Linked DNA regions of Saccharomyces cerevisiae S288C. Changing the gene in region 1 together with any one later gene gives a genetic interaction. Each region holds a gene or a part of one and is shown on either strand. Other genes may lie near its edges.

The links.
Region 2: mutations in MAD1 (region 1) and CIK1 together harm fitness more than expected from each alone (negative genetic interaction), as found in Saccharomyces cerevisiae (6 studies listed by BioGRID, with this or other methods).
Region 3: mutations in MAD1 (region 1) and CTF4 together harm fitness more than expected from each alone (negative genetic interaction), as found in Saccharomyces cerevisiae (6 studies listed by BioGRID, with this or other methods).

What each region holds. Positions count from the first base shown.
Region 1 is NC_001139.9:344,397-350,407, forward strand, and holds MAD1 (coiled-coil domain-containing protein MAD1), read left to right. Parts: upstream 1-2,722; coding exon 2,723-4,972; downstream 4,973-6,011. Other genes in the region: LIF1 (Lif1p), read left to right, coding at 1-188; MF(ALPHA)2 (Mf(Alpha)2p), read right to left, coding at 395-757; YGL088W (uncharacterized protein), read left to right, coding at 1,440-1,805; E2 ubiquitin-conjugating protein MMS2, read right to left, coding at 2,010-2,412, 2,498-2,508; LCL3 (Lcl3p), read left to right, coding at 5,220-6,011. UniProt on the Saccharomyces cerevisiae protein: Central component of the spindle assembly checkpoint. Thought to recruit MAD2 to unattached kinetochores. During checkpoint activity, MAD2 is relayed from the MAD1-MAD2 complex to the mitotic checkpoint complex (MCC).
Region 2 is NC_001145.3:657,814-662,826, forward strand, and holds CIK1 (Cik1p), read left to right. Parts: upstream 1-1,931; coding exon 1,932-3,716; downstream 3,717-5,013. Other genes in the region: YMR196W (uncharacterized protein), read left to right, coding at 1-529; v-SNARE protein VTI1, read right to left, coding at 732-1,385; cyclin CLN1, read left to right, coding at 4,831-5,013. UniProt on the Saccharomyces cerevisiae protein: Together with the minus end-directed microtubule motor KAR3, involved in spindle midzone assembly, karyogamy (nuclear fusion) during mating, and with an essential function in meiosis I.
Region 3 is NC_001148.4:797,727-803,314, forward strand, and holds CTF4 (chromatin-binding protein CTF4), read left to right. Parts: upstream 1-1,507; coding exon 1,508-4,291; downstream 4,292-5,588. Other genes in the region: MSS18 (Mss18p), read left to right, coding at 325-1,131; ribosomal RNA-processing protein RRP9, read left to right, coding at 4,633-5,588. UniProt on the Saccharomyces cerevisiae protein: Accessory factor for DNA replication. It plays a role in accurately duplicating the genome in vivo.

The DNA.
Region 1 (6,011 bases):
CTTTAGAAGACAATGGTATTCAAATATCAGCAGGAAGATCGGATGAAGATTACGGAGACATTTCTGGTTCTGAATCTGAGACTGATGCAAGTGCAGGGGAAAAGAAGAGCTCCAACCATAGTGAACAATCCGGTAATGATAGGGAACCTTGCTTGCAGACAGAATCGGAAACGGATATAGAAACATAGCCTATTTATGAATGAATGTAATATATGGCAAAGAGTATTATAGTATCGCATCATTTGAGAGAATACTTTATTTAAATGGCAAAAAATAGTTCTATGTGAGTGATCGAAAACTCAACTACTCAGATTGAAAAGAAAATAAATAAAACTAGGTGTTGTATGAACGTGAAAGAAATCGAGAGGGTTTAGAAGTAGTTTAGGGTCATTTTTCAGTACATTGGTTGGCCTGGCTTGAGTTGCAACCAGTGCCAAGCATCAGCGTTGGCCTCTCTCTTGTACATTGGTTGGCCTGGTCTCAAATTTAACCAGTGCCAAGCGTCGGCAACAGCCTCTCTTTTCGCCAAAGTGGTGTTTTGCTCTTTTTCAGCCGCCTCAGCAATAGTGGTGTTGATAAACAATAGCCCACTGGCGGTAGCGTTACTGAATGGTAAAAAAGCTATGTCATGATCACCTCCGAAATCCAAGTATCCAATAATGGCCTCGGCTGGCACCTGAGCGATATCTTCATCGGAACTAGCAGTGACAGAAACGGCCGCTAAAATAAAAGTGAGAAAGGTAGAAATGAATTTCATTTTCTCCAATATGTGAATTTACTGGAATTTGATGCAGGTGATGGTAGTAATTATCCATTATATAGAATATAAAAACAGATATAGGAAGGACACCTCAAACTACACCAGAATCAAGGACAGCTTTTATACATATAAGCCCTCGTCTCTGCGCTGTAAAGACACCAAGTTTCACTAGGTCCACGGCGACTCTGTACTGAAACAACTGAATATTTGAAACAGTAACGATGAATAGTTTGGCTCGATACCTTGAAAACAATCACTACAGGCGTCGCCCAGATGCGCACATCGTTGCTGGCATTGATGTACCAATGAAGAAATATAAGTGACAAACTTTATGAAAAGATAGAAAGAGGTTTACAAGATAAGAGAAAAATTATGCTGTGAAGATTAGTAATCGAAGTAACTGCTTATTCATTCAGTGCATGTTTTTCTAGGAATGCGTTTGATATGGGACATACATCTTACTATGCGACATTACCTTTTAGGGACATCAATGAGCAAGTGAACACTAGCAAATTAGGAAAACAACTTTAGCACGCCCAACTGCGTACTGAAACGCAGAAAACTATAGAGTTTCCCGAAACGGTGACAGCTGAGTTCGCTCAAATAAGAACAACACCATGTCTTGAAGCTTCTTCTATAGCGTAGAGTAAGTAGTGCCTTGTAGCCCTACCGTTTTACAATGCATGAGGTTACCCGCACTTATTATTTTTTTCTCTTTTTTTTTCTTAGCTATAAAAGGCAGATCAATGCAGCATTCATTGCTTTATTTGACTTTCCTTTACTATTTATTTACTTTCCATTTCTTATTTTAGTGTTATTTTATAACAGTAACGCAAATTTAACAGCCATTCGTAACACGTACAGTATCTCGTCGAGGTTGAACCCCTCCGGGGCGTTCTTGACCCATGAAGAATGTGGATTGGTGTTGCAATATATTTATTATTGGCTTGGACTGGAGAACAAATTTATCGATCTTGGGTGCAACAGTCTTTCTGTCGTCTGTTTTTTAGCAGATCTAAGGGTTTACCTTCGTGTGCCCGGATGAGGACCGTTGCAAGGATTGATAATACAACTATATACATCATTATCGTAGTGAATTGCACGAGTAACTTCTCGGCATGGGGTGAGTAAATTCATATTATGAAAGTAATTAAACTTACTACCTAAATAAGAGGATATCTATGTCTTATTGCTTGTATATATGAGTGGCTTGGAATGCTGCAAATACTGTTTAGGAAAAAGTAGATAACTAAAAGGTTTCTCCTTCCTTCGGTTGACGCAATTTCTTGTTCGCTGGGGTTGCCATTTCCTTTCTAAGATCAAGTAATAAAGTTTCCATGGTGTAGGCTCTTTTCCAGTCACGTAAGGTGTGGAAGTCAGTTTGGACCTCCCCCGTAGTTGGATTGACGCATGGTAGATTTATCTTGGAAATGAAAGTGACCTTTGGGGGAGAATCTGGATAGTTTGGGCCACAATCTATAGAAAGGGAATAGATTCTGTTTTCATGATTACTATGAGGGGGCCCTAAAATAGTGCCGTTCCATTTGGTCATGGTAATATCGTCGCTATCAGCTAAACCATAACTACATGATTCTGGACCAAACCCTTTTTCACCCTTTTCTAATTCTTCTAACAACCTAAAATTTCTTGGTCTGATTTACAATAGGACAGTGAGGGTACATTTCAAGAATTTGTTAGTATATGTTGAAATCCCTTTCAAAACTTATAATAACATACACTTTTGACATTTTTGTGTAAACGCTGCTTTCTTCTACGTTGCATATACAGAATAAGAATTTCACCACGACATCGAAATGTAATGAGCAGAGATTGTGTAGGAAGTTGATCTTATTTTAGTCTCTTATTTATCGCTAAAGGAGCAATGAAAATTGATAGCGTGTTACCCTAGGAATAATTCCTAACAATTTTTTCCATCTTAAAATCGAGAGGTAATAGTAAATAATGGATGTGAGAGCGGCATTGCAATGTTTCTTCAGTGCATTGAGTGGACGATTCACTGGAAAAAAATTGGGACTAGAGATCTATTCTATCCAGTACAAAATGAGCAATAGTGGTGGGTCCTCTCCTTTCTTGGAAAGCCCTGGAGGTTCGCCCGACGTAGGCAGTACAAATGGACAAAGTAATCGTCAGATTCAGGCGTTACAATTCAAGCTCAATACTCTACAAAATGAGTATGAGATTGAAAAATTGCAGCTACAAAAACAGACGAATATCTTAGAAAAGAAATATAAGGCCACGATTGACGAATTAGAGAAAGCATTGAATGATACAAAATATCTTTATGAAAGCAATGATAAATTGGAGCAAGAGTTAAAGAGTTTGAAAGAAAGATCAGCTAATTCGATGAATGATAAAGACAAATGCATAGAGGAATTGCGAACAACCCTCCAAAACAAAGATTTAGAAATGGAGACTTTAAGGCAGCAGTATGATTCGAAGTTATCAAAGGTCACTAACCAATGTGACCATTTCAAGTTGGAAGCAGAGAGCTCTCATTCGCTACTGATGAAATATGAGAAAGAAATAAAGAGGCAAAGTGTGGATATCAAAGATTTGCAGCATCAAGTGATGGAAAAGGATGATGAATTATCTTCGGTAAAAGCATCTAAGATGATAAACTCACATCCAAACTACTCCACCGAAGAGTTCAACGAGCTCACTGAAATGAACAAAATGATCCAAGACCAAGTTCAGTATACTAAAGAATTGGAACTAGCGAACATGCAACAAGCCAATGAATTGAAAAAACTTAAACAATCCCAGGACACTTCTACTTTTTGGAAATTAGAAAATGAAAAACTACAAAACAAATTAAGTCAATTACACGTACTCGAAAGTCAATATGAAAATCTTCAATTGGAAAACATAGATCTAAAATCGAAATTAACCAAATGGGAAATTTATAATGATAGTGACGATGATGATGATAACAATGTTAACAACAATGATAATAATAATAATAATAAAAATGATAATAATAATGATAATAATAATGATACAAGTAATAACAACAATATTAATAATAACAACAGAACCAAAAATAACATAAGAAATAACCCTGAAGAGATTATCCGGGACTGGAAACTTACCAAAAAGGAATGTTTAATTTTGACAGATATGAATGATAAGTTAAGATTGGACAATAACAATTTAAAGCTACTGAATGATGAAATGGCTTTAGAGAGAAACCAAATACTAGATTTGAACAAGAATTATGAAAACAACATAGTAAATTTGAAAAGATTAAATCACGAGTTAGAACAACAGAAGAGTTTATCTTTCGAAGAATGTCGATTACTGCGCGAACAATTAGATGGCCTATATTCCGCACAAAATAATGCTTTACTAGAGGTCGAAAATAGTGAAACACATGCGTCAAACAAGAACGTAAACGAAGATATGAATAATTTGATCGATACTTATAAAAATAAGACAGAAGATTTAACAAACGAACTAAAGAAGCTAAACGATCAGTTATTATCAAATTCCAATGATGTAGAAACACAAAGAAAAAAGAGGAAGTTGACAAGTGACCAAATTGGTTTAAATTATTCACAGAGGCTCAACGAATTGCAACTGGAAAATGTAAGTGTCTCGAGGGAGTTGAGTAAAGCACAAACTACAATTCAGCTACTACAAGAAAAATTAGAAAAGTTAACTAAACTAAAGGAGAAAAAAATACGTATACTGCAATTACGTGACGGCCCCTTCATAAAAGATCAATTTATCAAGAAAAACAAATTACTTCTTCTAGAAAAGGAAAATGCAGATTTACTTAACGAATTGAAAAAGAATAATCCAGCAGTGGAAACAGTACCCATTTCTGTTTATGATTCACTAAATTTCGAGTTGAAACAGTTCGAACAGGAAGTTTTTAAGTCAAATAAAAGATTTTCCAGACTAAAGCAAGTTTTCAATAATAAATCTTTGGAGTTTATTGACGTTGTAAACTCATTATTAGGTTTTAAATTGGAATTTCAACAAGATAGTCGTGTGAAAATATTTTCCTGTTTCAAACCTGAAAAATATTTGATTGCTGATCTAAATGAAAACACTTTGAAATCTAACCTTGATGCAGATATAGAAGGATGGGATGATCTCATGAATCTATGGGTGGAAGATAGAGGTCAACTTCCGTGCTTTTTGGCAACAATAACATTGCGTCTGTGGGAACAGCGACAAGCCAAATAAGTGTATATACATTTCTAATAGATAATAGTAATCGGTTTTATAATATGATAAACTCCTATCCGCTGACATAATTGTTGGTCACAAAATTCTTTTATCTTTCTTCATCATTGACCTTTTATGATTCCTTTGGTATGCAAAAAAAAAAAAATTGTGTTGAAGAATAAAAACAAATTACAGAATAAGTCACACATGATATAAAAAGAAGCCCAGTTTTTCATAGCTATTAAGGGGGCATAAATGCACTTATATGAGGGAAGGTGATTCTAATTCAAAAAAATCTGCGGATGTTGCTGTCCTCTCCATCATCCTTACGGGTTCGACCTTAACATTGATCTACACATATAAAAGGTATTTAACTCAATTCAAAAGAACAAATGATATACCGCGAAGAATATTTCGTAAACACTGGCTTTATGGTAAAGTCACGTCTGTAGGTGACGGGGACAACTTTCATTTCTTTCACATGCCAGGTGGTATAAGAGGTGGATGGGGATGGTTACGACCCGTCCCACAAATGATCAAGAATGATTCTACGGCAGAAAAGCTTGTTGGAGATAGCAGAAATATGAGGTTTTTCAATTTCAATTGGATTACGCATGGGAGGTCCACCAAAAGTAAAATACAAAAAGCTAAAAGCCAGTTCTTGAAGCTAAATGTACCTTACAAAAATAGGAAAAACCTGCCAACTATTCCTATAAGATTATGTGGAATCGATGCCCCAGAAAGAGCACATTTCGGTAACCCAGCTCAACCGTTTGGTAATGAAGCTTTAATTTGGTTACAAAACCGAATTTTGGGAAAGAAAGTATGGGTCAAGCCTTTATCTATAGATCAGTACAACCGTTGTGTAGCTCGAGTGTCATACTGGGACTGGTTTGGTGGGTGGAAAGACTTAAGCTTAGAAATGCTCAAGGATGGATTAGCGGTTGTTTATGAGGGTAAAGTAAACACAGAATTTGATGATAGAGAAGATAAGTATCGATATTATGAATTTTTGGCAAGATCTAGAAAAAAGGGACTGTGGATCCAGAATAAATTT
Region 2 (5,013 bases), on another chromosome or scaffold:
TGAATACTTTGACGGTGATACTGGAAGAGGGCTTGGCGCTTCACACCAATGTGGTTGGACTGCTCTTGTGGCCAAATGGATAAGTGATGTAGGTATATCCTGTGTAAGACTACCTCGTACGCCAAGATCATCTGTGGCAACGACCGCTTCAACAGAGAGCTCTGAGCAAGGTCCCAAAATGAAGAGAATGGCAAGACGTAAGAGTGCAAAGTCTTTGGTAAACTACACTGCCACCATTTTGGACTTAACCGAAGAAGAAAAGCGCCATCATAGGATAGGGGGCACCCATTCTGGGTTGACACCACAAAGCAGCATTTCAAGTGACAAGGCTAGACATTTGATGGAGGAAATGAATGAAGAGGAAGGTATTCACGAAACTGTGGTACCTGAAGATCGTCACAACTTTGAAACCAAGCTTATAGGCAAGCTAAAAGATAAGGTGAAAAATATGAAAGTAACTGACAAGGCTAAAGATGAGGATATAGACCCAATGGACCCAATGAGTCCGTTGAATAAGGATGTGTCTTGATTAACTGCGGTGAACCTTCAATATCTGTACGTTTGAAAAATATTTCCAACGATATACCTCTATATTTTGATCTATAGAATATTTAATTGCAGTAGTTTTTTATCAGTAAGGTAGCGTTGATATTACTAGTGAAGGTAACTCTATAGTTCCTTGACATGTTCTTTAGATTCTAGAGGTTTTTTATTGAATTTGTTTTCCCACCTTATTTAAACTTTGAGAACAAAACTAGCAAAATCAATAATATAAGGACTGCGATAATGGCATAGCTTATGAATTTATTAGCAACTAGCCTTCTAGTCATTGTTTTTAGTGTCTTTATACTTTTATCCACATATGAATCCGCTTGAAACAAGGTCTGTCTTGCATTTTCCAAAGTTTCTCTCTGTGACCTTAAATCCATCATTATTTGTGACCCTATTCCTTCAGTTTCATTTGCTATTCTACTGGCATCTTTTAGTCTATCTCCCGATTTCTGTAAGATTGCATGGTTGCTCAACAACTGTTGCCTTTGGTCATCGTCAATATTAGATGCGTTAAGATCTCCAAAAAGTCTATCACGATCGCCTGAGTCTACTAAGGATTGCAGTGGTCGTTTGATATCGCTCTGTATAGTCTTCTTCCATTCTCTTAACTTCGCCTTGTACGTAGCACGTTCTGAGGCATCGCCTATGCTGTTATTAACTTCTACATCCATCTGATCTAGCAGGTCAAACAACTCATCTTGTTGCTGTTCTACGTGCTTCAGTGTAGTATTTCTCTGTGATAACGGTTGTGAGGGGGCCTCTGCTAAGCTCGCTTTGGCTTGTTCTAAGGTTGTTTTGAAGTCAGATTCGTATGATATTAATAGGGAACTCATAGTAAGCCATGCAGCAATGTAAAGAGTGCGGTTGATTCGTTTTATACAACTTAATGTAAAGCTTTACACTTTTCCAAGAATAGTAATTGCCCTATATAGCACGACTACTCCACTCCTAACTTTCATTGAAAATTAGACAGTCATGTGATCAGTAATATCGTCCATAGTGATATTTGTTTGTTTACCATTTTTGTTCTTATTTACTCTCTAATATGATTCTAGTATATGAAAGATACCACTGTCGTAGCTCGTATCAAAATAAAACTAGTCAGTCGTTGACCATTGAGCATATCGTCCGAGAATAAGGCTTTACTGTATTATTTTTTGATATCCACACGTTATTGAGCTCATTCACTGATCGACACATTTAGGCGGCTTTTCCGTTTGGCTGAAGCAACTTTGAAACACAACTACGACATTATAATTAAGCGCCTAAATAAGTGAATTTTGTGCCATAGGGTTGGACCGTGTATATATAAGAGCTATTCACTATTTTAATATTTGTTTTGGCATTTGAAACTCGTTGACATAAGCTTTATTATTAGGATGAATAACTCCAAAATTCCTAAACTTTCCTTTCATAGTGATCCAAACAACGTCACTCGAGACTTTCCAAAGACAAAACGACAGAAGGTTCAGAAAAGAGAAATGGATATGATACTAACTCCTAATAACAACAAGCTAAATATATTGCACAGCTCTGGATCTGGTATACGGCGCTGCTACACTGATGACACCTCCGCTACGTATACTAAGAAACTAACCTTTGGGGGGGACCCCAAGATTATTGAAAGGGTTAAGAACAATGAACGTAAGGTTAGAAAAGACATAGATTCACTACTGAATGCTATTTCTGAAATTGAAAAGGAATCTGTTCGTATTCATGCCAGGGAACTACCTGCAATAACATTAGAATTAGATGCAAAAGTCAAAGCGTGCAGGGAGCTACAAAATGAGATTGATGGACTATCAACGGAGATGGACTTGAAGGATAATCAATGTGATCTTCAAAGAAAGAATGTTGAGCTATCATCAAAAAATATAGTGTCTATGCATGCAGTAAAAGTACAAGAGTTCGAAAACGATTTAGAGGAAGAGCTATCGAATGCCAAAAGGGAGTGGACGTATAAATTAATGGAAGTAGAAAATTTGAAACCTGACGAAAGGTTAACTGACGAAATGCGACAGCTTAAAACAGAATTCGAGGAGGTCAATAGGAAACTATTCATTCTACAGAATGAAAATGAGAACGAGTGTAAAAACTACAAAAAAGAATTGGACAAGAAATTCGAGATATTCAAGAAAGTTAAGAACGATGCTAGAATTGAATTAGATGGGGAGCAAGAAAGACTTTCGAAAGTTTTAAAAGACCTACAAGACACCCATGGTGAACTGAAAGAAAATATTAAGACGTGTAGAGATGAGTTTAACGATTTTGAAAAAAGGATTGGAGAGGCAGAAGTGAACTTCCATAGCATGGAACTTGCCGTTGTTCCTCTCAAAAAGAAGCTTGCTTCTACATCACAAGCATTGACGCAAGTGCAGGAGGAGAAGAAGCAAGTCGAAGGAGAAGCAAACAATTGGAAGAAGAAGTACGTTAATGAACTAGAAAAGGTTCAACAGGAATTATACACACGACAAAATCTGGCCACTTCAATTGAAGAAATCAAAGGATACACCCGATGCTTTGCGTATGCCAATGAACGACAAATGCCTGATGAATTCCATATCAACTATGTGGATCGGTGCATTTGCGAGAATAGTGGAGAAAAACGGGTACAAGTATTTGATAGAGTAGTTCTCGAAGAAATCCATAAGGATCACAAACGCTTATATAACGAATGCATTCCGTTCCTGGAAAAATACATCAGCAAGTTAATTAACTGCAGCATTATAGTGGTTTCGCAGCAACCCACAGCACCAATGAAAAAGACTTTGCTAAAACAGTTAATTGAGCAGTACGGTGAGAATTATAAGATGACATTGAACATTTTGCATCTTGACGGAAGTATTAAACACAGTGACGTTGGATTAGATAACCCAACAGAAATTAGAGATCTGTCACAAGATGAAGAATGCATGAACATTTTAACTTTAGATACCAAGTTGGGAAAAGATGAAGAGTCCCATTCAATGAATATATATATCGGTAGTATGTCCACGGTACAGCTGAATAGAGAGCTTGATGATGCTCCCTCAGTCCTTTCGCATATTCTCACTAAAACAAAGCAGTGCTTTGTCTTCAAGATTAACGCTGGTGAAAACATCGAGAAGGCTCTAGCCTTAGCGGGAAAGCTGAAAAGAACAATAACATTACCTCAGCTAGATTAAGAAGGCCAGATCTTGTGCGCTACAATCACTTCGTCTCGTTCCCTTACATAAAAAACTTACGTAGCTACATTGTCGTGCGTGGCATCAACCTAATTATCCTAGCAAAATAAAAGAGAATGTTACGGGACTAACAGGCGGATGTAAATTACTCACTTAAACGCAGCCAAACATCATCGAGAACTTAGGGTAGCGTGCCACAAAATTTGCATGAATAAACTTTTGTTTTCCTAATTCGACAGCATTCCCTTGTTCGCAACACTTCACTGATAGGAAATCGAATAGCGCACACTCTCTTCTGGGACATACCCCAATGCGGTAAAGCCACGAAAACACCGCGCGTAAAGGGGTAAACAAGTCCATTCCTACAACCTCTTGGAGAAATTCTTTACCTACTACAACCCCGCGCCTGATACTTTCAGTATTCATGACAACTCGAGCCAGATCCCGCTCGTGGGCGTGTTCATTCTGTGACGATCCACTAGCGACTTCTTTGTTCAGCCTGCAAGAGACGCGTTCAAGGAAGAATTCGCGATTTTACTTCTTCGAGGGAATCTCGCACCGCGTTAGTTAGTTTCCAACCTTGAAAGCATCGGAGACGCATTTTTGGCGATTTTGCTGGATTGAGCTGAATGGTGCCAGGTCGAGGCTGGGAGGGAGACTAACTCGAAAGTGACGAAGACTCGAAAATTAAAAAAAAAGATACTGCAGAAGGCAAGATTGAGAATGGAGTAAAGGCAGCGTGGGTCCCCTGTGGAAACCGCAGTTTTCCTGCGCCAAGTGGTACCGGTGCGAGTGCAGCAATTAATCTCTCGATATTTTCTTAGTATCTCTTTTTATATAAGAATATATTTTGGAATTGGTAATGCTTATCTTCAATAGTTTCTTAGTTGAATGCACACTTAAGAGCAAATTGGCCAAGGAGTTCTTCGTTCGCTTTAATTTATTTCCTGGTTATTGTCAATTTATTCATCCCATCTCCCCAGGATAGAAGAAATTAGTGTAATTTTGCTGACAATACATTTTAACGACGATAACAATAATAGCAATTAAATAAAATAGCACTACCACCACTCCACTGCTCGTTAGCTATTTCTGTAAAATAAATAAAAAGATCATGAACCACTCAGAAGTGAAAACTGGGTTAATTGTCACTGCAAAGCAGACATATTACCCAATTGAATTGTCCAATGCAGAACTACTAACTCATTACGAAACCATACAGGAATATCACGAGGAAATCTCTCAAAATGTGCTGGTCCAATCTTCCAAGACAAAACCAGACATAAAATTGATCGAT
Region 3 (5,588 bases), on another chromosome or scaffold:
AAGATTGCATCTATGAATGACACTAAAATATGTTTCTCTTTTTGTATTTGCTTTTGATTAAATAATGGTCAATTTGCGCCCCCCACCTTATATAGTTTAGAGAAAGACGTGTAAATATTTTTTAAAAAATTGATACTGCTCTAATGAGCCTAAATCTCCTTTCTTCGCTTGTATATATGCGTATTCTGTATGTTTGTCCAGGCAGATTTTTCGGCTTTTTTTACCAGCTTTTATTATTAAAATGTGATAACCTTAATTGAAGGTTGCGATACAAAATAATCCTTTATTACGCATAACCAAGGAAAAGAGAAAATCAGTGCACATATGGGTTTACCTGAAGTTAACTTTCTTCGAAAAAACTGCATACTTGTGGAGTTAAAATTATTCTATCAAACAGTATACCCACCGAAGGAACTATATTGGAATAACCGAATAACTGCAGAATTGAGTACATTCTCCAATATTAAGTATGCAAGGCCGACTTTCGCAGTAAATAATGGCACATTTCAGAGAACAAGACCGAAATTAGACTTGGTACTGGCTTCATCTGATATTCGTAAGCTGGCTACGGTTTTATTTAATTTAAAAGCTCTCATAATGAATACGAAGGGTGAGGAACCCACTCTAACCACGATGACTAGTGTCCAAACGAACGAAGAGAAAAATGATAACCTGGAACAGAAATATTCAAGTCTGCTAGATAGATGGAATGGGAAAGTAGAAGTGCATGATTCTCCTTTCCTTCAACTCCAACGGGACAGCAACCTTTTGTTTGCTGAGAGGCCGGTACGTTACGTTAGCACTACAGAAGGTGAAGGCGTGGACATATCTAGTGAAGAGTTTTTCAGGTTAGAGGAAGAACAGTGCCGAAGGAATTATGATGTTTTGGTCGATGAACATTCTACACCATCAGTCGGGATGAAAGACGGCCAATACGGACCAAATATAATTCACTTTGAACCGTCGCTGTACCACACATATTCTTCTCTACCAATGAGTATGAAATTTTGGTTAAATGGTCTAGAAGACGACGAAACGACGATGATGAACATTGATGAGAAGTCAGCCGAAAATCTGGATATATTATTACATGGTTTCAAAGGATTTTCGAACAAGCGCGTTAAAGGATGAATTAATCATCCTCTTCATGTACTACTTATGTCCAATTTGAGTGTAAAATCACAGGTACAAGGCTTATCCATATTCGTATATATCTTCATAATGTTTCATAATTGCTTCAGAAAATTATTCAAAACGTCTTGTGATATTCATTAGGTGAAATCGTAGTTTGCCTGATACTTGAAAGAATCTCACCTGGAGAATGGGTGTTTTCACTAAGATTCGTTAATTTCCACTAATGATTAATTGTTAACTGTTTAACGCGACGCGTAATAAAGTTTCCTGAATACGCCAACATATGGGAACATATAGATTAAATTAATAAGAAAGCTTGGGAAAAATAATTGAGAAGGGCAAGAAGTGACGTAAATATACTAGACGTACTATTATGGTTTCAGTTATAGACAAGCTTGTTTTTGACTTTGGTGGGAAAACTCTGGTCTCTCTCGCACCAGATAATAATACTTTGTGTGTAGCCAATAAAAATGGCTTAACCAAGATTCTGAAGACAAATAACCCAGAAGAAGAGCCAGAGACTTTAGATTCTTCCAAATTGGTCTCGTCTATAAAATGCTATTCAAACTCGCACTTTCTGATGACTACAATGCAAGGTGATGCTCTTAGGTATAACATCGATTCTAGTCAAGAAGAATTATTGGCTAGATTTGCTTTACCCCTACGTGACTGCTGTGTTATTCATTCAGGTAAAATGGCCGTATTTGGAGGAGACGACTTAGAACTAATCCTTTTGGAATTGGACGATGAAACACACAAAAAACATGCCATTAAAATCGATGAACAAGTTTCTCAAATTTCTTACAATTCACAGATGAATATTTTAGCAGTTTCAATGATAAATGGTAAGGTACAAATTTTTTCTCTGACATCTACTATTCCAAACAAAGTTCATGAGTTAAATGATTACATAGTGGCCAATTCATATGATGATACACACAGAGATAAGATACTCTCGAATATGATGGATGATATAGATAAAGACAATGATAATGACCTGAGTGAAACGGCTGATCCAGATGAGAACAATGTAGCTGATCCAGAATTCTGTGCTGCTAATAGAATTTGCACGAGAGTGGCTTGGCATCCGAAGGGTCTGCATTTTGCGCTACCATGTGCAGATGATACAGTAAAAATATTCTCTATAAAGGGATATTCCCTACAAAAGACGTTGTCCACAAATCTCTCATCAACAAAGGCTCATTTCATTGATTTGCAATTTGACCCGTTACGTGGAACTTACATTGCGGCAGTAGATTTAAATAATAAGTTAACGGTATGGAATTGGGAAACTTCCGAGATCCACTACACCAGGGAATTCAAAAGAAAAATTACTAATATTGCCTGGAAAATCCAAGCGGACTCAAAAACTCTAGACCTTGTTTTAGGTACCTGGTCCGGTAGTATAGCCATTGTCCAAAATTTGGCAGAGTCCGTAGTATCTAATATACCTGACCAATCTGTTGCTGAATCTTCAACTAAACATGGGCTTTTTGTAGACTCCGAATCTGACTTGGAAAACTTAGAGGGAAATGATGATATAAACAAAAGCGATAAGCTATTTTCAGATATTACTCAAGAAGCGAATGCGGAAGATGTGTTCACTCAAACACACGACGGCCCCAGTGGATTAAGTGAAAAGAGAAAATACAACTTCGAAGATGAAGAAGACTTTATTGATGATGACGATGGTGCTGGTTATATTAGTGGCAAAAAACCACATAATGAACATTCTTATTCGAGAGTACACAAGACTCATTCGTTTCCAATCAGTTTGGCAAACACAGGAAAATTTCGTTATATGCCTTTTTCTCCAGCGGGAACACCTTTTGGCTTTACTGACAGGCGTTATTTGACAATGAATGAAGTGGGCTACGTATCTACTGTCAAGAATAGTGAGCAATACAGCATAACTGTCTCTTTTTTTGATGTTGGACGTTTTAGAGAATACCATTTCGAGGACTTATTTGGCTACGATTTATGCTTCCTAAATGAAAAAGGCACTTTATTTGGCCAATCCAAAACTGGGCAGATACAATATAGGCCACACGATAGCATACATTCAAACTGGACCAAGATTATTCCTTTGCAAGCTGGTGAGAGAATAACAAGTGTGGCAGCCACCCCGGTTCGCGTTATTGTTGGTACATCATTAGGCTATTTCAGAAGTTTCAATCAATTCGGGGTTCCATTTGCTGTTGAAAAGACATCCCCAATTGTAGCGCTTACTGCTCAGAATTATAGGGTTTTTTCAGTACATTATTCGCAGTTTCATGGCCTTTCATACTCTTTATCTGAATTGGGTACTTCTAGTAAAAGGTACTATAAAAGAGAGTGTCCACTTCCAATGAGTTTACCAAACATTAATTCTGATATGAAAAAAGACGCAAATCTTGACTACTACAATTTTAATCCGATGGGCATCAAAAGTTTGTTCTTTTCAAGCTACGGAGATCCATGCATTTTTGGGTCCGACAACACGCTTCTATTGTTATCAAAGTGGAGATCACCAGAAGAAAGTAAATGGCTCCCTATTCTAGATAGCAACATGGAAATATGGAAGATGTCAGGAGGGAAGGAAACGACAGATATACATGTCTGGCCCTTGGCTTTGGCGTATGACACATTGAATTGTATCTTAGTTAAGGGCAAGCATATATGGCCCGAGTTTCCCCTTCCGTTGCCATCCGAAATGGAGATTAGAATGCCAGTATTTGTTAAGAGTAAATTACTAGAGGAAAACAAAGCTATATTAAATAAAAAGAACGAAATTGGAGCTGACACCGAAGCGGAAGAAGGGGAAGAAGACAAAGAAATACAGATTCCTGTTTCTATGGCGGCGGAAGAAGAGTATCTGCGCAGCAAGGTTTTGTCAGAGCTGTTGACAGATACACTCGAAAATGACGGTGAAATGTACGGCAACGAAAATGAGGTATTGGCAGCATTGAACGGTGCATATGATAAGGCTTTGTTACGTTTATTTGCGTCTGCATGCTCAGACCAAAATGTTGAAAAGGCTCTTTCGCTTGCTCATGAATTAAAACAAGATAGAGCACTTACTGCAGCCGTTAAGATATCAGAAAGAGCTGAGCTGCCCTCTCTCGTTAAAAAAATTAATAATATAAGGGAAGCTAGATATGAACAGCAATTGAAATAAAAAAATGTAAAATATATATACGCAAGAGACAATTATTTGATACCTGTTCATTTGTTCAAATCATCGTTCAAAATGCTCCCACATTAACATATATTTCTTTGAATGCGACGATAATAAAGAGTTACGTTGAACATGATCTGAGCTGGAAGCGTCCTTGCGAATTTTCGCGAAAGGAAAAAGTGAAAAAATATGAAAAAAAAAAAAAGAGATGACATTTTATAGATGAGCTTTGATTAAACAGTGTAACACCTGGTCCTGTACCGTAAATATTCAAATAAGCATCAATTCAAAGTTCTTTATTTCTTCTTTAGCATTTCAAAATTATAGAAAATCTAGAAAAGATGTCAGATGTTACCCAACAGAAAAAGAGGAAAAGATCCAAAGGAGAAGTTAATCCATCAAAACCCACAGTAGACGAAGAAATCACAGATCCATCCTCAAACGAAGATGAACAACTAGAAGTTTCGGATGAAGAAGACGCATTGGAATCTGAAGAAGAATTCGAGGGTGAAAATCCAGCCGATAAAAGAAGGAGGCTTGCAAAGCAATATCTGGAGAATCTGAAAAGCGAAGCTAATGACATTTTAACTGATAATAGGAACGCTGAAGAAAAAGATTTAAACAATCTCAAGGAAAGAACAATCGACGAGTACAACAATTTTGATGCTGGAGATTTGGATAAGGATATCATTGCGTCCAGGTTAAAAGAAGACGTTGCTGAACAGCAAGGCCGAGTCTTCAGATATTTTGGCGATAAACTTCTAATATCTGAAGCAAAACAGAGCTTTACCAGGGTAGGGGAAAATAACCTTACTTGCATTAGTTGTTTCCAACCCGTTTTAAACAAATACACCTTCGAGGAATCATCTAATGGCGATAAGAACAAAGGTAGGTTATTTGCCTATACAGTTAGCAAAGACTTACAACTCACCAAATATGACATTACTGACTTTAGCAAAAGACCAAAGAAGCTAAAATACGCTAAAGGAGGAGCAAAATATATACCTACGAGCAAGCACGAATATGAGAATACCACAGAAGGCCATTATGACGAAATCTTAACTGTAGCAGCCTCACCAGATGGTAAATATGTTGTCACAGGTGGAAGAGATAGGAAGTTAATTGTATGGAGCACAGAATCTCTATCACCCGTTAAAGTTATTCCAACAAAGGATCGCCGAGGGGAAGTTTTATCGTTGGCTTTTAGAAAAAATTCTGATCAGTTATATGCATCCTGCGCAGATTTTAAGATAAGAACATATTCAATAAATCAATTTTCCCAGTTGGAGATTCTTTA